Linked DNA regions of Canis lupus familiaris. The protein of the gene in region 1 purifies or fractionates together with the protein of each later gene. This does not show direct contact. Links are inferred from orthologs where the notes say so. Each region holds a gene or a part of one and is shown in the gene's direction. Other genes may lie near its edges. The genes, in order: NXF1, FYTTD1, RANGAP1, XPO1, SRSF7 and NXT2.

What was found.
Region 2: the proteins of NXF1 (region 1) and FYTTD1 purify together in Homo sapiens (affinity purification with western blotting; 3 studies listed by BioGRID and IntAct, with this or other methods). This does not show direct contact. The link is inferred for Canis lupus familiaris from reciprocal best matches to the Homo sapiens genes NXF1 and FYTTD1.
Region 3: the proteins of NXF1 (region 1) and RANGAP1 purify together in Homo sapiens (co-immunoprecipitation; 3 studies listed by BioGRID and IntAct, with this or other methods). This does not show direct contact. The link is inferred for Canis lupus familiaris from reciprocal best matches to the Homo sapiens genes NXF1 and RANGAP1.
Region 4: the proteins of NXF1 (region 1) and XPO1 purify together in Homo sapiens (affinity purification with mass spectrometry; 3 studies listed by BioGRID and IntAct, with this or other methods). This does not show direct contact. The link is inferred for Canis lupus familiaris from reciprocal best matches to the Homo sapiens genes NXF1 and XPO1.
Region 5: the proteins of NXF1 (region 1) and SRSF7 purify together in Homo sapiens (affinity purification with western blotting; 3 studies listed by BioGRID and IntAct, with this or other methods). This does not show direct contact. The link is inferred for Canis lupus familiaris from reciprocal best matches to the Homo sapiens genes NXF1 and SRSF7.
Region 6: the proteins of NXF1 (region 1) and NXT2 purify together in Homo sapiens (co-immunoprecipitation; 5 studies listed by BioGRID and IntAct, counting the BioPlex papers as one, with this or other methods). This does not show direct contact. The link is inferred for Canis lupus familiaris from reciprocal best matches to the Homo sapiens genes NXF1 and NXT2.

What each region holds. Positions count from the first base shown.
Region 1 is NC_049239.1:54,407,311-54,410,810, forward strand, and holds part of NXF1 (nuclear RNA export factor 1), read left to right. Parts: intron 1-442; coding exon 443-526; intron 527-636; coding exon 637-741; intron 742-837; coding exon 838-918; intron 919-1,027; coding exon 1,028-1,097; intron 1,098-1,240; coding exon 1,241-1,329; intron 1,330-1,456; coding exon 1,457-1,564; intron 1,565-1,719; coding exon 1,720-1,829; intron 1,830-3,500.
Region 2 is NC_049254.1:29,634,533-29,638,032, reverse strand, and holds part of FYTTD1 (UAP56-interacting factor), read left to right. Parts: intron 1-1,157; coding exon 1,158-1,286; intron 1,287-3,500. UniProt on the Homo sapiens protein: Required for mRNA export from the nucleus to the cytoplasm. Acts as an adapter that uses the DDX39B/UAP56-NFX1 pathway to ensure efficient mRNA export and delivering to the nuclear pore.
Region 3 is NC_049231.1:24,911,638-24,915,758, forward strand, and holds the start of RANGAP1 (ran GTPase-activating protein 1), read left to right. Parts: upstream 1-1,321; 5' UTR 1,322-1,431; coding exon 1,432-1,516; intron 1,517-1,897; coding exon 1,898-2,047; intron 2,048-4,121. UniProt on the Homo sapiens protein: GTPase activator for RAN. Converts cytoplasmic GTP-bound RAN to GDP-bound RAN, which is essential for RAN-mediated nuclear import and export. Mediates dissociation of cargo from nuclear export complexes containing XPO1, RAN and RANBP2 after nuclear export.
Region 4 is NC_049231.1:62,845,991-62,849,490, reverse strand, and holds part of XPO1 (exportin-1), read left to right. Parts: intron 1-98; coding exon 99-147; intron 148-228; coding exon 229-348; intron 349-1,516; coding exon 1,517-1,645; intron 1,646-2,325; coding exon 2,326-2,484; intron 2,485-3,500. UniProt on the Homo sapiens protein: Mediates the nuclear export of cellular proteins (cargos) bearing a leucine-rich nuclear export signal (NES) and of RNAs.
Region 5 is NC_049238.1:30,974,215-30,978,459, reverse strand, and holds the start of SRSF7 (serine/arginine-rich splicing factor 7), read left to right. Parts: upstream 1-1,445; 5' UTR 1,446-1,599; coding exon 1,600-1,627; exon of another isoform or gene 1,628-1,886; intron 1,887-2,654; coding exon 2,655-2,835; intron 2,836-3,113; coding exon 3,114-3,290; intron 3,291-4,165; coding exon 4,166-4,240; intron 4,241-4,245.
Region 6 is NC_049260.1:83,436,372-83,440,639, forward strand, and holds the start of NXT2 (NTF2-related export protein 2), read left to right. Parts: upstream 1-1,468; 5' UTR 1,469-1,565; coding exon 1,566-1,663; intron 1,664-2,494; exon of another isoform or gene 2,495-2,512; intron 2,513-2,628; coding exon 2,629-2,716; intron 2,717-2,868; exon of another isoform or gene 2,869-2,990; intron 2,991-3,104; exon of another isoform or gene 3,105-3,108; coding exon of another isoform or gene 3,109-3,123; intron 3,124-3,718; coding exon 3,719-3,805; intron 3,806-4,268. UniProt on the Homo sapiens protein: Regulator of protein export for NES-containing proteins. Also plays a role in mRNA nuclear export.

The sequences.
Region 1 (3,500 bases):
TAGAACCAAATAGTTTGGGGAACCTGGGTGGCTCAGTCGGTTAAGCATCTGCCTTCATCTCAGGTCATGATCCAAGGGTCTTCGGATCAAACCCCAGCAGGGAGCCTGCTTCTCCCTCTCACTCTGCCTGCCCCTCCCCCTGATTGAGCGCGCGCGCTCTCTCTCTCTCTCTCTCTCTCTCTCTGTGTTAAATAAATAAATAAATGAAATCTTAAATTTAAAAAAGGAACCACATAGTTCTATTTTCTTGAAAAATACTAAGTTTAAATGGGCAGAAAGGAAGGTAAGGAATCTGTGTCTGACTTGAGTAAAAAAAAAAAAAACTTTTAACTGGCCCTTCCTTTAGGAAATGTCATAGAAGTTGGCAGAAGGTGTGAAAGGAGCACTAGGTTGAGTCTGTTGGTCAGCCTTTATTACATGATATTCCTTCTCTCTCATCTAGATTCCCTATGGGAGAAAATATGACAAGTCATGGCTCCTGAGTGTGATTCAGAGCAAGTGCAGTGTCCCTTTCACCCCCATTGAGGTGAGATAAGGCCCAGGTGGCTGACTGGGCACCAAGGAAGGTGAGGGGCCAGCTGGACCAGGGGCCCCAGGCTCCCAGTCTCATGCTCTTGTTTCTTCCTCTTTGTGCAGTTTCACTATGAAAACACACGGGCCCAGTTTTTTGTGGAGGATGCCAGTACCGCCTCTGCATTGAAAGCTGTCAACTATAAGATTTTGGATCAGGAAAACCGAAGGGTGTGTGTAAAGGGCCTGGCTTGGCTGGAGTTGGGTCGTGGTCCTGTGGCTTAGGCTTTCCCAGAATTCACCTTGCTCTCTGTGTCTTCCCTGCAGATATCTATCATCATCAACTCCTCTGTCCCACCCCATTCTGTACAGAACGAACTGAAGCCAGAACAAGTAGAGCAACTAAAGGTGAGGCAGGCTCACGTCATGTGTCTCCTCTCTAGTTCCACCAGTTCTCACATCCACAACCCCTCTGCACAACCCGAGTGACCGCTGACCCCTTTTCCTTCTCCTGTAGCTGATCATGAGCAAACGATACGATGGTTCCCAACAAGCACTTGACCTCAAGGGTCTCCGTTCAGACCCAGGTATGACTAGCAGCGGTCATTCTCAGAGAGGTGGAGGCAGAGGGGGGTCTGTCGGGCGGGGAAAGTTTGAGAATAGTTTGGTATGAACTCTGACGTGGGAAAGTCCTCTCAGACTTCCTCTCTTTCCTTTATGCTGCCTGAAGACTTGGTGGCCCAGAACATCGATGTTGTCCTGAATCGCAGGAGCTGTATGGCGGCTACGCTGCGAATCATTGAGGAGAATATCCCTGAGGTGAGGCTTTTGTCCTGCTTAGAGATGGGAGGAGGCAGAGTGGGACAGGTAGAATGGGGCTAGGAGGCAGATGTGTCTCCGAATCCTTTGTTGGCAGTGCTTCCTCTAATCCTTTCTCTGCCTGTAGCTCTTGTCCTTGAACTTGAGCAACAATAGGCTCTACAGGCTGGATGACATGTCCAGCCTTGTGCAGAAAGCACCCAACCTGAAGATCCTCAACCTCTCCGGAAATGAGGTGAGACCTGAGGGTCTGGTTATGTTGTGTGGGGCGGTGAGTAGAGGGTGCAGAGGGCTCGCCTGCTGACAGCAGAAGGCACGGTGTGGGGATCTCACTGGCTCGGCTCCCTCATTGGGGTCTCCTGCCCACTCTCTCTGCCCTCCTCTCCGCAGTTGAAATCTGAGAGGGAACTGGACAAGGTAAAAGGGCTGAAGCTGGAAGAGCTGTGGCTTGACGGAAACCCGCTGTGCGACACCTTCCGAGATCAGTCCACCTACATCAGGTCAGTTGTAGCCTCTGTCTCCCCTCCTGGGGACCTTCACCCCCTGGGAGGCTGAGCTAATGTACCCTGACCAGTGCCCGTCTGCAGGAGATGTGCAGCCCTGAGCTGGAACCACCTGTCCTTTGGGAGGATCACATGCTCCTCCCTTCGTCTGTCTGTGTGTCCCAGTTTGGCCCCGAGGTCTCCTTACCTTCCTTCTCACCTGACTACCTGTTTGCTGTTCTGTGGTCTTTCCTCTTCCCAAACACAGCCTTTTCTAGAGTCTCCCTACTCTCCTGTTCCAGGAAGGGCATCTCCTGCTTTGTGGCATGACCATGGGGTATCTGTCATCTGCCCCATACATGGAGCTGCCTTATGCAAGAGCCTGCTGTCCCAGGGCTGAGAAAGCCTTTCTGCCCTGGGACTTCCTGTTGATGGGCCTTTCCTTCTTTGTTCTGCGCTAGCCCCTCTTGCCGTTTGGCCAAGAGGGACTCTCTTCTCACGGTCCACGTGCCCAAGGCCACCGTTGCCTGGGCTTTCTCCCTCATGCTGAGGTTGAGGCCTCCTCGGAGCTGGTGCCATGCATTCTGTCTCTCTTGCCTGGAGCTGTGTGAGCTGGGCCCTCCCTGGAGAAGAAACCTGGGTTCCCCAAGCTGTGTGAGCAGAGCTGGGGCCCCGCCGGCAGGCGAGGGAAGCCCAAGGCAGGTGCTGGGCGTGGAGGCCACGGGGGCATAGACTGCGGAGGAGACAGAGCACTGACCCTCTTGGGGGCGCTGCCCCGCCCTCACTCGCACACCTCACGTCACCCTGCTTGGCCCCGGAGGATGGCTGGTTAGCCAGAGACGGGTAAGATTCCTCAGGGAAGGAACAACCTAAGACAGGCACAGTCGCAGAGGGGCCATCAGGAGAGAACTTGGGGGCCAACAGAGGTGGGGCACAGACCCTCACCCCCCCAACTCTGCAGGGGCCTGAACCCTCACCCCTCCTGAGGGAGGTCTCCTGCCCCCATGGCTGCTTCACATCCCACGCCCAGCTCAGATTGGGACCCAGGTAGCAGACAGAGACCTGGCCAACAGCAACTGCCCTCCGGCCGCAGCGAGAATTTGTTTCCCGTCTGTACCTTGGACCAGGGAAAGAAGGGGCAGCTGAAGGAAAAGGCTGTGTCGGGTGTCCTCTTCCCTTTTTTCTTCCTTGTTTTTCCTAAGGCCTCCTTTGGCCTTTGCTTTCTTTCTTTTTACTCTCTCCCCTCCTCTGTGTCCCCATCTCTCCCTGGCCTTGGCCCCATCCTCCCTTCTCTCTTTCTCTTCTTCTCCTTCTCCATCTTCTTCCTTCACCTCTTCCTGACCCCCTACCTTGCTCATTTCCCTGCCCCAACATCCTGTGCCATCCCTGTGGTGTGTTCTGGTCTTGGCTATGGCCAGGCTGGGCAGAACTGATGGATACCTGTTGAGGCAGCGGAGCCCCTGGGCTCCCACCCCATTCCCTCCTCCCGGGGCTGCACAGGTGAGTAGGTGGAAGGTAAGGGGGGCAGGGAGGGGAAGGAGGTCCTGGCTTAAAGCCTGGGCTGGGAGTGCTGCTCTTGTGGCGCTCGGGTCAGGCAGCAAGAAGAGCGTCTGCCTTCAAGGCGGTTGTTTCTGGGTGCCCCGGGTGAAGTGGGGAGTGGGGCCTCTTTCCCCAGAGCTCAGAGGCTGG
Region 2 (3,500 bases), on another chromosome or scaffold:
ATTAAGAGTCTTAAAAATTACCGATGGGTTAGGTAGAGTAGTAATATGTAAGGAAAGATTCCTATAATATATAATTCTCTCTTTTATTTCAGAAAAGACTAATTATATTAATATAGTTGTTAGATTCTTGTGTTTAGAGCAATTTGGAAAAAATAATTGAAGTTAATTAGTTTTGTGAGATTTTAAGTTGACCAGTTTATTTGCTTTATCAATCATCAAAATTAATATTGAAGTTGGGATGTGGACAAAGTATTTGGCTATTTCTTAGATGAATATTTTTTGGCTTCTAGTAATCTTCTTTTGACATTTGTAAATAGAAATCTGGAGTTGGTTTAGTTTCCTGATTTTCACATTGTTGTGCTGTGGTATTAGGGCAATGTGATGTTTGTAAATTACTTTGGGAGAGTTTAAAAGTGTTGAAAACAATGAGTGTAGAAGGCAGAAAGGAAGGTAGCTCTGAATATTCTGCTAGAAAAGTGAAGAACCCAATTATTTTCTTTTTATGCTATACCTTTATTATGTGCTTTTTATTTCATAGCTGCTATTTACTTGTTTCCATCAATGATTTTAAACTTACCTGAGAATAAGGACCATACTCTACTTTTGTTTGTTTTCATTACAGCATAACCTGCCACATACATTCATTGCACACAGCATATGCTCAATAAATATTTGCCGAATTGAAATGAACTTCTTTAGAAATGTACTCTTTTAGTTGAATGATTTATTATTATTATTATTATTATTTTTACTGCCTATGGTTTTATTGGAAGGTGGTCGTCTTTAAAAACTGGACACTTCTGTGATTATGGAAAGTAGATATGAGTAATTTTTGTAAATAGGCTTTTGCTTATTTATATGCATTAAAGAAATATGGTGGATAACAGAAATAGAAATCTTCATTAATTGGTAGATTTGCTTTGAGCTCTTGATTTGAGCTTTTCCTATAAAACTTTTCTTTAATGCTGAAAGTATATTGGCTGATTTGAATTTTTATCTTATTATTATCCTCTTACGAAAGTGCTTTCAAAGTAGCAAAGAAGTTAGGGATGTAAGAAATCTGTCAACTAGAAAATGAGGCTGAGTAATTAATTGAGTTATTAAGTTAAAATGAGTTAAGTTGTAAGTTAATAATCATCACATTTTGTATATCACAGATGATATCATCAAATTGAATAGAAAGGAAGGAAAGAAGCAGAATTTTCCGAGACTAAATAGAAAACTCCAGCAAAGCAGTGCCCGGCAATTCAGGATGAGAGTGCGATGGGGAATCCAACAGAATTCTGGTAATTTTTACAAGTAAACTTAAGAAAGAGCTATTATTTGTAGATTCATAGCATGCTATGTTTAGTACATACTTAAAATATGGAAGAAATATATTAGTACCCTTTGTGATTTGTATTTTCTCAGATTTTTGTTTAATCTTGAAATCTGGTAAGCATTTTCAGTTGCTTTAATTAGGTGATAACCCTGTTTTTTAAAAACATTAAGTCGGGATCCCTGGGTGGCGCAGCGGTTTGGCGCCTGCCTTTGGCCCAGGGCGCGATCTTGGAGACCCGGGATCGAATCCTACGTCGGGCTCTCAGTGCATGGAGCCTGCTTCTCCCTCTGCCTATGTCTCTGCCTCTCTCTCTCTCTCTCTCTCTCTGTGACTATCATAAAAAAAAAAAAAATTTAAAAACATTAAGTCATTTTTAAAGTTCCTTTTGTATGTAAATAGCATAAATTATATTTAGGGCTACAGTATTGTAAGGGATTTTACAAAGCAGAGGTTTTATTTCCTTTCCAGTTAGGTATTTAATAGTCTGGTGGATAATTACATAACTCCCACATGCATAAAATATATTCAATGAAAGTGCATACCACTTTACAAGACAACTCCTTTATTGGAGATAACTATTTACTAGAAAGTTTTCTTAATTGAAATTAAATTGTGCCTACCTGTTAACTCTGTAGAGTTACAGGAAGCAAACTCTCTTTTCTATATGAGAACTTTTTAAATATGTGAGACTATTCTGCATGGAAAATACTTCCAGGCTCTTTGTGTTATCATCTAGGGCTCTTAAGGATCTGTTAAATCCTCTAAAGGGAACACTCAGAATTGAGTGCCTTAGATGTGATATAATAATCTTGGAACTCTACATATACAGGTATTTTTTGGCACTTTGTGGAAGCTTATTGATTGATTTATAACCATGTTGTTCCAAAATGGATTTAAGGTGGTTACTGAACCCTATTAATTGTATATGACTCATTAATTTTTTTAGCAGTTATATCAGTGTTTTAGAATGAACCTTTGTGGGGATCCCTGGGTGGCTCAGTGGTTTGGCGCCTGCCTTTGGCCCAGGGCGCGATCCTGGAGTCCTGGGATCGAGTCCCGCGTCGGGCTCCCGGCATGGAGCCTGCTTCTCCTTCTGCCTGTGTCTCTGCTTCTCTCTCTCTCTGTGACTATCATAAATAAGTAAAAATTTAAAAAAAATAAAAAAAAAAAGAACCTTTGTTCAAATTAAAAAACTAGATCTTTTTTACACACGTAAAAAACGTTTGGTGACTTTTATCCTGTATGTTAAAAAACGTAAAAAATAATTACCAGTGGGTTCCATGATTATAATTAGTTCTATGTATATAATAGTTAATATGCCTTCATACTCTCTAAACATATCTGTAACTGAGGTTAGACTCTACAAAGAATTTTATTCTTCTCTAATAATTTTCATTTCTATTTTTTTAAAAGATTTATCTATTTGTTTTAGAAAGAGTGTGCATGTGGGAGTAGGGGGAGGGACAGCGGGAAGAATCCCAGGCCAACTCCCTGCTAAGCACAGACTGGAAGCCTCACCAGGGATTTCACCCAGGGCTCAACTCCACAACCCATGAGATCACGACCTGAGCTGAAACCAAGAATTGTACACTCAACCAAGTCACCCATGCACCCCTTCTAATAATACCTTAAACAGTGGAACCCAAGCAAGTAAATTTTGTGACAGATATTTACCTATAGCAAATGAATATTTAATTCCAATGATTTATATTTAAAAATTCCTATAGATGTTATTCAGCATACCACATTTTAAACATTTGCTTTAATTTCAGAGTTCACAGGAGCCAGAAATGTATTTGTTTATGCTAGTTCTATGTTAAATACATGATAAATGCCCTGAACTGACTAGGTTCTTAGGGTTTTTAGAGATGTGATCTTTTACTTCAAGGAATTTCTAGTAGCAGAGATAAGACAGACAACATGGAGTTGAGAAATGTCATGAAAGAAATTCCAGTAGTACCAAAGGACTTTAGATAGATTTTGTGCTAAGAAAATCAGTGGTTTAATGGATAAGGTGAAATAGGATCTGGTCCATGAAGGACCAGAAAAACTTTCTTTTTATGGGGTTTATCATCTGAGCTTTAAGATAAATGATACCTAGGGGCAGCTTAGGATCTTATAAGATTGAACTTGTGCTTGTTCTCCAGTTACATGTGACAGAGCCTAAAATAGAACATCT
Region 3 (4,121 bases), on another chromosome or scaffold:
AGAGAGAGAGAGGCAGAGACAAGGCAAAGGGATAAACAGGCTCCATGCAGGGAGCCCAATGTGGGACTTGATCCTGGGACCCCAGGATCATGCCCTGGGCTGAAGGCAGTGCTAAACCCCCTGAGCCACCCTGGCTGCCCTGTTTGTTTGTTTTTAACCTAGGTACTATGCCCATCCTGGAGCCCAGCATGGGGCTTGAACTTATGACCCTGATATCAAGTCCAGAGCTGAGATCAATAGTTGAACACTTAACCAACTGAGCCATCAGGTGCCCCTCTAACCAATCTGTTTTATTTTTATTTTTATTTTTATTTATTTATTTATTTTTGGACCAATCTGTTTTAAATCGCAACCCCCTCGGGGCACCTGAGTGGCTCAGTGGTTGAGCGTCTGCCTTTGGCTCAGGGCGTGATGCCAGGATCCCAACGTCCTGGGATCGAGTCCCACATCAGGCTTCCCACAGGGAGCCTGCTTCTCCCTCTGCCTACGTCTCTGCCTCTCTTTCTATGTCTCTCATGAATAAATAAAATCTTTATAAATAAATAAATCGCAACCCCCTTAAAACTCCTTACCCCCTTCTCCGTTTGTTTTTCTTATCACTTACACAAATAAGATTCCACATGTCTTATTTAGAACACATGTTTTAAGAGGTGCCCAGCTAGCTCATTTGGTAGAACATGTGACTCGATCTCAGAGTTGTGGGTTTGTGACCCATGTTGGGCATAGAGATTACTTAAAAAAATAAAATCTTAAAAAATAAATAAAAATAAAATCTTATAAAAAAGAGAGAGGGCAGTATTTTTGCTTCATTCACTGCTTGGTTCTGGTATCTAGAGCAACGTCCAGAACATAGTAATACCCAATAAATGTTTATTGAATGAATGAGTGGTGCCTTCTTATCTAGGAGAATAATTCATACATATTTGTAAAAATTGGCAAGCCAGGGTGATCAGGGTTAAGATAAGGAGAAGGAGGTGGGAGGCTGGCTATAGGAGCCCAGAGGAAGCCTGGGGGGAGTTGGAGGATTGGGGAGCCATCACAGTTGTATCTTGAGGACGAATAGATTGGGGAAGGACATGTTCTGGGTAAGGAGTTTTTGTGGGCCCTTCCTCGTTCTGTCTTCCATATCCATCATCCTTGGTCTCCCCTGATGACCTGCCATTTCCTCTTTAGGGAAATGGAGTGGTCTTTCTGCCAATCTGCCGAGTTCTTCCAGGCCAGAAGCTCCTTTCTTCAGCAGCTCTGCCCTTGGTCTATTGTGATGGTGGCTGTTGTGATGTAGAGACCTCTGGTCTCCTAGGAACCCCTGAGGTTTGGCCACCATGGATTGCCCAGTCTTCTGGCTAAGGTTGAAACCAGACGGGCAGTGGGCTGACACCTGTGCCCCATCCCCAGAGACATGCCAGCGTGGGAGGTGGGGCATTTCGCGGGATGGATAACCTGGATCCCTTAGCCATCCTAGTCCTGTTTGAGGAATGGGACCCTCAAACAGAGAGCAGCCAGGATGATCAGGCAGGTGTGTGCCTGGAGTAGGCTCTTTGCATTGCAGCTGTTGGTCTGGGCCCAACTACCATTCACTGGGAGCCCAGAAGATGGGCAGCTCAGATGGCTGTGCTTGGTGTTCCAGCTGGGGCCATTGGGGCAGGCGAGGAGTTAAAATAAGCTAGTAATCCTTCAGGGGCTAAAACATGATTTTACTACTCTTGCCACTTTCTCCACCTTTCTAGAATTGTTCCTTACCTAATAGTGTTTTCATTTCTCCCAGTAGTTTAGCTGTTGGAGTCTCCATGGAGGAGGGGGTGTTAAGCCCCTGAAAGGGCTGATGTCCTACCCGGCCCTCCCCAACCAGGGGGCCCCAGGAGACTCCTGTCTCTTAATGAAACTTCATCCTGCTCAGTTTGCAGATTTCCGGGGGAGCCCAGCAACGTGGCCAGCATGGCCTCTGAAGACATTGCCAAGCTAGCAGAGACACTTGCCAAAACCCAGGTGGCTGGGGGTCAGCTGAGTTTCAAGGGCAAGAGCCTCAAACTCAACACTGCGGAAGATGGTGAGTTCCTGCTTGGGCTGGCCCAGGGGAGGAAAGAGTGTGTGCCAATGACTCTTGTTCCAGCTTGTTTAGCTACATTATCACGTTGTTTGTTACCTAGTAGCTCTGTGAGATAGTTTTGGGTCCCTTTTAGAGTGAGGCTCAAAGATGTGCCCACAAGGACATATATAGGCTTCCCTGCTAGTCATCATGTTTTTGGAGGCCATCCTTGCTGGTGACAGCTTAGGTTGGCTGGTGGAAAGGGCCACTTTATGTCTTAGTGGGAGGAGATAGTAAACAACAAAGGATCACAACAGCAGTGTCAGGGTATAGTCCCTGACTTCTTACTTCCCACCTTTACCACTATGATCCCAGACTGGTTTTGGGAATACTGGTTGGCTTTCCCAGAGGTAAGGCCCTCTTGGGAGGTCTGGTCCGTGCAACTGAATGCCCCTGGAAGAGGGAGGGATGTTCTTGTCCTAGGAACCAGGACTGTAGGGAATTAGGAAGCAGAATGCAGGCCTTGTCTGTTCATCCCTGGCCAAAGCATGGCTAACACTGGTCAACCCTGAATCCCCTGACGTTTGGAAGTGAAGGCACCTACGCCAGCACTTGCAAGGACTCTTGAGGTTCTGGCCCAACCAGGGAAACTGGTATGGACTTGCCCGGTTGTCATGGATTGCAGGCAAGCTTGCTCACCTGCCCTGCCTCAGAAACTGGAGTTCTCAGGTTGTCAGGAGCATGGCAGTGCACATTCCTGATGTCTCTGAAGGGCCTTAACATTTACAGAGTCCCTCCCTGTGCTGTTATCACTTCCGATCACACGTCATCCCTGAGGGGGGGATGTAGAAATGTTACCATTTTATAAATAAGGAGAAGAGATTTGGAAGACCTAACTTGTCCAAGGTCATCTAGCTGGTAAGTAGCAGAGCTGGGATTTTAACAGAGGTCCAGCTAAGTCCCTATTCTTGTGTTTGTCAGTAGACAGCTCAGTTCAGTAAAGATGAATTTGCTTTTTTTTTTTTAAGATTTAAAAAAAAAAAAAAATATTATGTATTCATGAGAGAGAGAGAGAGAGAGAGAGGGAGAGAGGCAGAGACACAGGAGGAGGGAGAAGCAGGCTCTATGCCGGGAGCCGATGTGGGACTTGATCCCAGGGCCCCAGGATCGCGCCCCGGGCCAAAGGCAGGCGTTAAACCGCTGAGCCACCCAGGGATCCCCCTTTTTTTAAGATTTTATTTATTCACGAGAGACAGAGAGGGAGAGGGAGAGGCAGAGACACAGGTAGAGGGAGAAGCAGGCTCCATGCAAGGAGCTCGATGCTTGATGGGACTCGATCCTGGGATTCCAGGATCATGCCCTGGGCCAAAGGCAGGTGCTAAACCGCTCAGCCACCCAGGGATCCCCTGAATTTGCTATTAAATTCCATTCCCTGAATGCTGAGTCAGGCATTCTTTAAGTGCCTGACTTAAGGAAGTTTATCCTCACAAAAGTCCTTGAGGTAGGTCTCATCCCCATTTTGTAGATTGGAAAAGTGAAGCCCTGGGAAATAATAGGACTTGCCTAAGGGCACAGATACAGGTAATGGAGCTAGGATTAGAGCTCAAGCTTGTCTAGCTTTAAAATCTGTGCAGATCACTAATTAACCAGCTCAGGCTGGACATGTTGCCTCCATTTTCTTGGTCACCAGGGATGCCCAGCTTATAGCCCCGGCCTCTGAGGACCTCCTAAGATGGAGTAGGAAGGAGGTACTCAACTGCCAGGGGGTAGAAGGTGAAGCATACTCTGAGCAACGTGAACAGAAAGCTGTGGGAAATACGGCAAGGGAAAGGGATCATTTCTGGTTTAGGAGGGCCCCGGAAGTCCCCATGGATAAGGTGGTTGAACTGTCATTGTAGGGGAGAGGGCAGTAGACGCAGGGAGTATCATGTGAGGGGAGGAGCTGAGACACATAGGGTGGGCTTGGGCGAGAAGGAATCAGGGTGCCATAGGGAGCCCAGTGCAGACAGCCTTGAATGTAGTGTGGAGGAGTCTGGCAGCTGGACCCTGGGCCCAGAAAGGGCCTCCACCTTGGCTGGCAGTGAGCTGGCATAGT
Region 4 (3,500 bases), on another chromosome or scaffold:
TGGAGTTTTTAATGACCAAATTACTGAAATCTTTTGTAATTTTGTTAGTATGTAAATAATTTCTCTGTCTTCTAAACTGATCAATTCTTTTTTTTTAGCATGTGCAATGAGTTCTCCCAAATTTTTCAGCTGTGTCAGTTTGTGATGGTAAGTGCTTTTGATACCGTTTTTTAAAAGTAACACTTAATTATATGAAGAGGATTATTTACAAGTATGTTTTTGTTATAGGAAAATTCCCAAAATGCTCCACTTGTACATGCAACTTTGGAAACATTGCTTAGATTTCTGAATTGGATTCCACTGGGATATATTTTTGAGACCAAGTTAATCAGCACGTTAATTTATAAGGTATAGTGAATACATCTCAGTTCTTATCACTGGATAGTTCCATATATTTTTAATTTCTAATGGTCTTTGCTCTAGAAAAGCTTGCATTTATAAGCATAACCTACCAATGTTGTGTCTAATATGAGAAACTGCTTAGAAGAACTTTTCTTTAGTTTCAGTTAATCTGTGTAATGGTGTCAAACTCTCAGGAATTCCTTGTGAACAGCTATTAAGGGATTTGATTTTAGTTTGCTATATAGGTCACAGTAAGGTAAGTTAAGGCTATAAAATGGAAGGTCTGGTTTCTTTCCTGTTTTTGTTTCTGTTTTAAAGCAGCAGCATGCAATACCTGTGTAAACTCTTAATACTTGTTCATCCAGAGACGACTGCTTATCAATAGGTTGTATTATCTTTCCAGATGCTTTCTTGGCAAATAGAAGGAATAAATTTGTATGCTTAACTGAGAAGATTATTATAACTTAACATTTGAGGTTTTGTAGTTTAGGGCTTGATAAGGTAATACATTATTCTAATATATGAATTTACAATATTGGAGACAGTTTACTGTTGACAGTGTATACATAAGTATATATATAACTTTGCTATTGTCAGTGGTACAAGAGGAAACTAAGTAATACAGCATTTATGTACCTGTCTATTTTGCATAAATGTTTATACATATAATTGTCAGATCAATGAACATAATCCATTTAAGGCTTTTTGATGCTTACCAAATTGCCATCCATAAGTGGTATGCCACTTTCATACTTTCTTAACAAATAGAATATGAAAGAGCCAGTTTTACCATACATTTGTTAATCGTATGTGTATCGCCCATCTCCTAAAATCCTGAGCAGTTATAAATCTTGGGTCTTTTTTAGACTATACATAAAATATGATGTCGTTAAAAGTCCTAAAATGGGTCCTGGGAAAATTACTAAGTGACTTTGTGTTTAGATGTCTGAAGACAGATCAGAAGAGGCTCAGTTTTTTCCTAAAGCATTTACTGTTTGTTGGGTAGATAATGAAATTTCCTCTATATATGTGCAAAACAAAATATCCATGGATTGATCTGATTTTTTTCCCATCTTATGATCCTGATTGTTAAAACCTTTATTTTTCTTAATTGTTAAGTAAAATATTACAGGCCATTTATTTTTTGCTTCCTTTTTTTAAAATTTTAAAATAGTTCCTGAATGTTCCAATGTTTCGAAATGTCTCTCTGAAGTGCCTCACTGAGATTGCTGGTGTAAGTGTAAGCCAATACGAGGAACAATTTGTAACGCTCTTTACACTGACAATGATGCAGCTAAAACAGGTAATACAACACTCTTAAGATCTGAGCAAACCATTTTAATGCCTTAGAAAAATTTGAGTTGGAGTTGAACTGTTCTGTCATAACTAATCATAACTATTGTGATTGTATATTTTTTACTTCATTTGATCGCTATACAGTGTATATTTATTAAAATAAGATTAGGCAGACATTCTAATGAACATTTGGAAATTCCTTGAAATAGAGATTCTGGAAGTATCCGAGGAATTTATTTACATAGACTTTTTAGAAGCTTGGAAACCTGGGGTTTAATATTACCTCTTGTTTCTGACTTTGACTCCGAAATGAAGAGATTGTACATTAACAGTCTTGATTAGGTATATATGAAATTGTTTAGAGTGTTAACCATAATACATTACCTTAGTGATCCAAATGAATTACTTAAATGTTCTTGTTTTTTAATAACACTAAGGAAGGAAAAGTCTGATACAGGGAAAAAATGAAAAGATACTTTGTGAAATCTTACTGTTTGTAACATTTTTAAAAACCACTAGAATGCAAAAATGCTATAGTGTAAACTGACAATGGATTCCTAGTGAAGAATAATCTAAGTCTGGCTTATAATATCAGTAACAAGGTGGTGAAATCTTGGTACTTAAAAGTAATATCTTTTGTTGATTTTTTTTAAGATGCAGACTAATGGTCCCTGTTTAAACTTGTAGATGCTTCCTTTAAATACCAATATTCGACTTGCATACTCAAATGGAAAAGATGATGAACAGAACTTTATTCAAAATCTCAGTTTGTTTCTCTGCACCTTTCTTAAGGAACATGGTCAACTTATAGAGAAAAGGTTAAATCTCAGGGAAACACTCATGGAGGTAGGCTTTGTGGAGCCTTTGGCTTCTGAAATTCTTAAATAATGAAAATTGTTTCAAAAATGCCTTGTTATAAAAATGCCTTTGTTGTGAAATGTCTACCTTTTCTTTTTTAAATGTCTGTACCTTTGGGCACTTGGGTGGCTGGCTAAGAGTCTGCCTTCAGCACGGGATCCTGGGATAGAGCCCTGCCTGCTTGTCTCTCTCCCTCTACCCCACCTCCAACTCTTGTGCATGCATCACTCCTAAATAAATCCTTTTTATTTTTTAAAATATTTTATTTATTCATGAGAGACAGAGAGACGCAGAGACCCAGGCAGAGGGAGAAGCAGGCTCCATGCAGGGAGCCTGACCTGGGACTCAATCCTAGGTCTCCAGGATCACGCCCTGGGCTGAAGGCAGCACTAAACCGCTGAGCCCCCTGGGCTGCCCAATAAATCCTTTTTAAAAGTATCTTTCTTCCTCTGTCGTGTGTCTCTCCCCGCTCCCCGCATGCTTGTCTGGGTCTTCTCTCTCTCTCTCTCTCTCTCTCTCTCTCTCTCTCTCTCCCCTCTCTCTCCTCTCTCTGAAGTAAGTAAAACCTTTTTTTAAAAAAAATAAATAGGGATGCCTGGGTGGCACAGTGGTTGACCATTTGCCTTCAGTTGGGGAGCCTGCTTTTGCCTCTGCCTATGTCTCTGCCCCTCTCTGTGTCTCTCATGAAGAAAATAGTCTTTTAATATAAATAAGATGTTTGTACTTGTGACCTCTTCTTACCTATTGTCCATGCATAAAATATGTTAATTTTGAATTACAAGCTGAATTTGTTCTGTTTTCTGCATAATGCCAGATCAATAATTGATAATCACAATTCAATTCCTAATTGGTCTTCAGACATTTCTGAGATGAAAAGTCTAAAGATGTTTAGAAACTGAGGTATAATCTATATAATATAAAACTGTTTTTAGAGTGTACAACTGTAGTGAGAGTCACAGAATTATTAAGTGTCCTCTATTCTAAAACATTTTCATCACCCGCAA
Region 5 (4,245 bases), on another chromosome or scaffold:
GAATAAATATAACATTCTATAGAACTTCTATTTTCTTGCTAGAATTTTCTTGCAATGGATGTATTCTTTCTATAATTTGATACATCTGAAAAAAATACGTATATAAATTTGTAGCATTGTCAAGAGAGGATCCATATTTTATTCACCAACTAAATCTCCTGTCTTCCATAGTCCGCATCACACATCCAAATACATCACGTGAAGTTACAGATGAAAAACATAGAGATACAAATAGCTAATGATTACATCTTTTATGTGAAGCAATTCCAACTCAAATATTCCAAGTATTTATTATATATAGTGTAATGTCTTTTTTTTTTTTTTTTTGTAGCTGGTGAAAAAGGAGTTAAATCTGTATTTGTAGACTTGGCATTTGGAAAATACATTGTATAAAATCAAATCTGAAAAGTATAGCATTGGAAATATAGTCAATAATACCATAAAAATGTATGCGTGACAGGTGGTGACTACACTTAGGGCGAACATCCAGTAATGCAAAGAATTGTTAAAACACTATGCTGTACATGTGAAATGAATATAACATTGTATGTCAACTATACCTAATAAAAATACAATCAGAACTTATGTTAAGCAATTCTATCTAAAGAAAGGGTTCACATTTATTTTCTATAGAGTTTGGCTGAGCAGCAAGGCTGTTACTCGAAGACGACTTAAAGTCCCAGTCCTCAGGATAGGAGTATTAGTGGATGAGATGTGTTACTACAATTCAAAGCAGAAAGCACTAGAAAGAAAGCACAAATAAATCTGTGCTTCAAATGCAAATAATTTCATAACTGCCACTAGCTAGAATGCTTTAAGGATTTAGGGGCTTTGCACAGTTTCAAAATAACCGTAAAAAGAAATACAACTCTATTCCTCTGTGCCCCAGAGTCCAAGAACTCATACGGTGTGGGTGAAAATTGGTTCTGAAGCGGCCGGAGGGTCGGTGCAGTCCCTGGGCACGGCACTCCTTTTGAGGCCCAGGGCGCAGTGACCACTACTCAGAATGGAGGGGTTTATGCAGCTCTCACCCTGGCCAAACTCCCGATTACCTCTGATGAGCCCCGGAGACGACTGAGCAGCAGTCTAAGCCAGGTCCCCCCGCAGAAAGGCGGCGACAGCTGCAACATCAGCGGTTAAATTTTACAGCCTTTCGTAAGGCCGGTGTAGTGTACCTGCAGTAAGACTACCTGAGCTGAGGGTTCCTAGACTGGGGGGAAATAAAAGGGGGGAGGGAGAAGGAAGGAAAAGGGGGAGGGGAGGGGAGGGGGCGGGACGCGGCGGGGAAGTCCACGGGTTTACCGGCGAGGTCTGGCGTTCCCATGGAAACGTATCCCTCCGCCCGTTCCCAGCGTCTTAGCCCCTTCAGTTCCCTCCGCGCCGCCCCTCCGCTGTTTCCGCCCAGCTCCTTTGTGCCGCGCAGAACGTCGAGATGACGCATGCGCAGAGAGAAGCCGCCGCCGCGTATATAAGCGCGAACCCAGACTCTTCCTCGTAGTGCCGCCGGGACCGTTGGCCACTCACTGGGTTTCGCAGCTTTTGTATTCCTCGCTCCCTGGGCACTGCGAGCGGAAAGCGCCGAGCTCGCGGGCCAGCATCATGTCGCGTTACGGGCGGTACGGAGGAGGTAAGAGGCCAGGGCCCAGTGAGGGGCGTTGCTGCGGATGCAGTGAGTACTGCGAGGCCGTGGGGTTGGCGCGGCGGTTGGGAGACGGTTATTCCGCGTGCGTAATGGCGGCCTCGGCGTACACCATACGAAGCCGGAGGCCGCGGGGGCGGGGTATCGGAGGCAGCCGGGGGATGGCGGGTGCAAGTCTGGGTGGGTTCCGTATTCCTTCTCGGGCGTTTTCGTCTCAACCACAGCCCACGGCAGGCCCACGGTCACGGCTTCCCCGTTGCCCTCCTGGAAGCCGCCCGCCCGCCCCCCACCCCCCCGCTCCCGGCTGCCATTTTGCGCACATTGACGACCATGGTGGCGCATTTCCTTGGCGCTTTCCCGCCACTTTAGCAGACAGATCGGGTCGCAGCCTTAAAAGCAAGGATGGATTTGAGACCGGACAGAAGTGGGGCAGCTTCGAGCTGCGCATTCTCGTCAGACAGTCGGTCGAACTTGAGTGGGAATGGAGACCTAATCTTTTCGTCTGGCGGCTGGTTTCTTTTCTCTTTTAGCTCTTTCGAGCGCGGTTTATGGCTCTGGGGCGGGGAGCTGGAGTCTTGGGCGAGCCTGCGCCTCGGGCGGTTGCCGCGGAGGACGAGAGCCGGCGCAGCCCCGCTCTCCCGGTCCGGCCCCTGCCGGGGCCCGCCCGCCGCCGCCGCCGACGCTGCCGGCCCGCGCGCTCCCCGCGCGCCCGGGGCTGCCGGGACTCGGGGGCGGGGCCGGGGCGGAGCCCGCCCCACGCCTCGGAATATCCTACCACGTGTCTGCTTCTGTTTTGGAGGTCGTTTCCCTATTAGAACGTTAAGAACTTTGTCACACGCCTGGCTTTTCAGAAATGTATGGGCTTCGCTGGCTTTAAGACTAAATTAAATCCTTGATAAAGCATTGAACGTGCTTGGCACAATCTTAACGGATGGTCTGTTTGGGGCACAAAATTCACTCAGACGTAGGCAAAATTTTGCATAACATTCATTCTTCTATTTGCGTTTTTAAACAGAAACCAAGGTGTATGTTGGTAATCTGGGAACCGGTGCCGGCAAAGGAGAGTTAGAAAGGGCTTTCAGTTATTATGGTCCTTTAAGAACTGTGTGGATTGCGAGAAATCCTCCAGGATTTGCCTTTGTGGAATTTGAAGATCCTAGAGATGCAGAAGATGCAGTGCGAGGCCTGGATGGGAAGTAAGTAAGAGTTGGTTATGAAATTGACGTTTATTAGAACATTCCTGTGGATTGAGTAGTGAGCTAGGTGACAAGCATAGATTCTGTAGTCTAGAGGAGACTTAAGTAGCTAATCATGACTATATACTTAAGATAAAGATATGAAGGAGGCACAAAGGTGGAGTTAGAAAGGTTTATAAAGATAGCTGAAGTTTGTGAGGGAAAAGCATGGTTGGAAAGCTCTAAATCTAGAATTGTTTATTTTTTTAGCATTAGAATTTTGTTGCCTTTTTTTGTAGGGTGATTTGTGGTTCCCGAGTGAGAGTTGAATTATCAACAGGCATGCCTCGGAGATCTCGTTTTGATAGACCACCTGCCCGACGTCCCTTTGATCCCAATGATAGATGCTATGAATGTGGCGAAAAGGGACATTATGCTTATGATTGTCATCGTTATAGCCGGCGGCGGCGAAGCAGGTATTTATTTTAATAAAGGAATGGTTGGTATACTAGTTAATCGAGTAATTTTTTTATTAGCAAGGCAGAAACTAGTATTTTTCTATAAACTTGAATGTTAATTGTACAGGTGTATTTTACAATTTTTGTTTAATTAAACAAATGTTAATATATTAATAATCAACCTGGTCAAAACCTTTCAGGTTTCTTCGTTTGAGTCAGTCGCCTTGATTCAGAATGTCACGAGCCTTATGATATCATGCTGAGGCGCCTTGCAAATCCGACAATTAAGATCCTCCTAGACCTTGAGGTGATCAGCATAAGAGGCCAGATCCCCTCGAGTCATCTACACCTAGCTTCACCTTATTCTTTAAAGGGCAGAAAATTTGAGACGGTGATCGCCGTAACAGTAAATTTGGCTTACAATTGGGGCCCCCTCCGGTTTAGAAAGAGGAACATCAGATTGACCACATTCCCAACTAGAAAAATCTTCTTGCGTCAATCAAGCCTCACCTGGCTCATTTGGCTGTCAGTTTGATCGTCGTTAGATTGAAGAAAACATCTAGATGCAGCGATCGGCTATAGATACTTCTAGATCGTCTAGATCTACTAGACCATGGGCCAAAGAGGGTCGACCTGCAAACTTGCAAGGTTTATTTTAAATACACATTACAGTGTTTTATATTATGTAATTCTAAGATGTAATTCAGCTTTTAACAAATCTTTTTTTAGGTAGTAAAAAAAAAAAAAAAAAAAAAAACTAATAGGCCCAGAGTTTATTTCCAAATGAGACACTAAATTTAAATAGTTTTGAGATTTGATTTCAGCAGAGGCACACAAACTCTAAAAACGAGTTACCATCTAACATTTTGTTTTTCTCTGACTTAAAAAAATAGGTCACGATCTAGATCACATTCAAGATCCAGAGGTAGGCGATACTCCCGCTCACGCAGCAGGAGCAGGGGAAGGAGGTGAG
Region 6 (4,268 bases), on another chromosome or scaffold:
AAATAAGCATAGTTTAGGGACAATGAGTGGCTCAGTGGTTGAGCATATGCCTTTGGCTCAGAGCATGATCCCAGGGTCCCGAGATTGAGTCCTGCATTGGGCTCCCCACAGGGAGCCTGCTTCTCCCTGTATATGTCTCTGCCTCTCTCTCTGTGTGTCTCTCATGAATAAATAAATAAAACCTTTTTTTAAAAAGTGTAGTTTAAGCACATACGTGACTAGCAGAGTGTCTAAGAGAAAAGACTTTGGGATTACACAGCTCTGGGTTGAAATTCTAGCTCCACTAGCTATGTCATCCTAGCCAATTTACTTAACCTCTTTGAATTGCAGTTTGAGTTCTTAAAATTTTAGATAATAATTTGTCTCTCTCCAGGGGTCATGAGGATTGAATGAGATTATAATAAACACCAGACACCTATTCTGAGCTCTCAATTAATAAGCATAATTACCTATAAAGCAGTAAACACAAGTCATTTTTGGCAAACAGTACTAGTTAACTTTGCCGATGTTGGTGAACAATGAGAGAGAAGTCTGGAATGGCAAATTGAGACTAGACCAAGGTAGGTCTTAAAAGATTAGAAACATTTTGGAAAAATGAGAAGTGAGAATATTTGCATATAGAGGAGGGAAAGGGAGAAGAGGATAAGGGGAGAGGAGAGGAGAGGGGAGGGATGGAAAGGATAGTGGAAAGGAGATGGGTAGGGGAGCAGAGTAGAAGGGAGGGGGAGGGGTGGGTACTGGCAGGGAGGGGGAGGGATGGAAAGGGGAGGGGAATGGAAGGGAGAGGAGGTAGGGAAGGGGAGGAGGGGAAGAGTCGAAGAAAGGGAGGGCGCAGTGGAAGGTATGGTGGAGGGGAGCAGAGCAGAAGAGGGGGTGGGGACTGGCAGGGAGAGGGGGAGGGAAGGGGAGGGAAGGGGAGGATATGGGAGGGGTCAGCGGAAGGGAGGGGGCAGCAGAAGGGAGGGGGAGAGGAGGTGAGGAAGGGGGGAGAGAGAGAGAGAGGTTGCCTAAAAAATGAGCCAAATTGAGCAAGTTACTTGGAATTCCTCTGTAGTTCATAAATGTTCTGTTTATTGTCTAGAACTCCCATTACATTGTGAACGTTATGTGGAGAACCTTGCATAACGTGGTAGTCCATAGTAAGTGTTCAATATTTTTTGAACAAACAAGTGAATTACGATGATGGGGGTGCTAAAAATAGAGTCCAAGAATTCAAGCATAGATGACTGAAAGAATACAGAAGATTGGAATTGCAGAGGAATTAAGGAGTTTAAATTTTGGACTCTTAAGAGTTCGAGAAACCTGTAAAGCATTTCTGCTGTTCATATCTAGTGAAATTCCATAAGCGGAACTGGACATCGACGGTGGGGGCTGGAGATGTGTCGTGAAGATTTATTAGCATATGAATAGCAGTTGAAGTCACGTGGGAGGAAGGAGGTTTTTAAATAAGAGACACCCCCGGAAGTGACGCCAGTAAGAAGGGCGCAGGGGAAGAAAGTCAGTCTGCCTGCAGTTGAAGGTAGTTTGAAGAGCGGAGCGCTGTGGGGGGCAAATAAGATTCAAATATGAGAAGATTCAGAAGAGACTGGGCTCATAGAAGGGACTCAGGAAGATACCAAAGAAGGAGAGAATATTTTGATGAGCCAGAAACCAGCTATTCGAGGTAAGACTATAGCGATAGCTAATTGATTTAACCATGCAGAAGCTGTTGGTGCCTTTGAGGTGAACGGTTTTAAAGGATGCTGGAGAGTGAAATCAGGTTGTAGTGGTAGTTAAATTGCTTGAGCTTGAACCCCAATTAGTTTGTGACTCTCAGTGGGTTCCTTAATCACAATGTGCCTTAGCTATAAACTGGAGATGGTTACCTCATAGCATTATTAAAGTAATAAGTGAATATCGATTAAAATGCTTAGAAAATTACATTGCTCGTGGTCACCACGCAGTAAAATTTTAGTTGCAGTTAGAAAGTAGGCTGCAGAAGGTGGTGAATGGCAAGGTTTGCTAATCTTCATTTGGAGTCTGAGACCAAAATTTGGGCATGAAGGAACTTGATAAGCCTTTTCTTATGAATAGCAGAAAACCAAATCATGAATAATTTTAGGAATGCTGCTGAGACCGTTGGGATTCGATTTAGTGAGGCTAGATTCTTCCAGAATGTTCCAGAACTTTAAACCGTTCTTTGCCAGTCATGCGCAGTGTGGTGGCATCCCTCCCCAAACTCCACCCCTTTTTCCTATAGTCTACAGTTCCAGTAGGTGTCTCCTCGCGTTTCTCGTTGGTCTTCTGCTATCCTTGGCCCCGCCTCCTGGCGCAAAGAAGTCCCCCTATTGGGCCATTTAGATTTTTTTTTTCTTGTCCCGCTTCGTGAGGGAAATGGATACTTTTACTTGGAGTATCTAGTTTACGAAAGCAGAGGATTTTTTTCTTCCCAACCAAGTAGATAAATAGCAACCAAATGAATAGAGGAGGCAGATGGGAGGGTACGGTCGGAACTGAAGGAAGTGTACTTAAGGTTGGAACATCGGGGTGCTTTTAACAACGGACCGAGCTACTTCCGGGAGAGAATGGGCGGGTAGAGAATTCGGCGTTTGGCGGGTTTAGCTGTCTTCCTAAATTTTGGTCCTGCAGCAGCCGAGGGCGCCCGACACGTGAAGAGGTAGTGACGCCGCCACTGCCGGAACAAGCTGCTTCGGGGTCCCTCATGGCCACGTCTGTGGTGAGTGCTGGGGCCACTGCAGGGTGCCGAGGCGCCGCGGCTCGGGCAGCTGAGGGGAGGGGCGCTGGGGCGGGCAGCCTGGTGGTCACGTGGTCCCGTGGCGAATCAGGGCCGGGCCCGCTGGGCTCCGGGGCGGGGCCCGCTTTCTGTAGCCCCCTTGGGTCGCGAGCCCACAGATTCCCCCGCCGCCCCCACCCCTTGGCGTCCGTGCAGTCCCTTTCGATTGCTGCCAAGGACCCCGAGATGAGAGTTGGCGGGAAGCGGAAATGTTGGGGTCTGTTTATGGCTTGCGATTTTTTATTCTCTATCATCTCCCTCTCTGAATGACTTTCGATATCCTGACAGGGAAATGAAACGGATTCTTAATTCAAATAATAGGCTGGGCTCGGCGAATGGCTGGGAGAAAGGTACCTATTAAATCATCCGGCAGAAGAAAAACCCCAACAGCATTTCTCTCCTTCGGTTCGACAATTCTTTACAAATGCCGGTGAATTTTTCCGTCATGTGTAGAAGTTTCCTAACTATATAGTTTTTCAAGCATTTCATCGAACTTCGTTTTATACTCCATTTTTTCCCCCACTGAGTAACTCTTTGTCCTGAGTTCTGGCTTAAAGAGGGAATTCAGCACTTCCACCACCACCCTGCCCTTTATAAGGTTCAGACCACATCGTTTTTTTAAGGTGAATGTTTTGTAAGATATTGGAAGCGTAAGGTACTTCCAGTACCAGTTACCAAGCAAACATAAATTCATATTTGAAATGAGAAAAAAATTCACTATTGAGGGATGAGTATGTCCTAAACACATGTACTTTAAAATGGGGGAAAATAAAAAAACTGGAAACTTTTGAACCCTGACCTTTATAATGTCCAAATATCGATGGAAGAATGTGAACTGTGTATGCAGCTACAAAGTGATTGAAATACGTGACCAGCTTTTGTTCGTTTTCTCTTTGTTAGGAGTTGGAGGGGTGGTAATGTGCACTTCTGAATTTTTTCTTCTAGGACTTTAAAACTCACGTAGATCAGGCATGTAGAGCTGCTGAGGAATTTGTCAATATTTACTATGAGACAATGGACAAAAGAAGACGGGTGAGCCTTATAGACTCTACTACACTTTGTTAAGTACCAGGGTTTTTTGTTTTGCTTTTTGTCTTTTTGTAGCCATCCAGTCATCTGACTTGCATAAGTGATAACTGTGGGCTTGTTCTTTAAAAGTGCATTTTTTAAGGGAAGGATTGGTTATGATACTCTGGAAATGTGGGCTCTGGAGTCCCTCTCTCAGCTTTGCATTTACCTAACTCTGTGACCTTGGGTAAATTGTTAATCTCTCTTATTCTCTAGTTTTAGGGAGAGTAAATGGGAATTAACTTACTGCACTTGACATGGGGTTTGACATATATTTACTCAAATATGTTACCTTTTTTAACGCTGTCATTCAGCCAGTATACTTAAAACAGTATCAGTGCTAGTGAAGGAGTGTGCCATTACAGGGAATGTTCCTTGAACTGTTTAATTTCATATATTATTAATTTCTGATTAAAGCTCAAAGCTG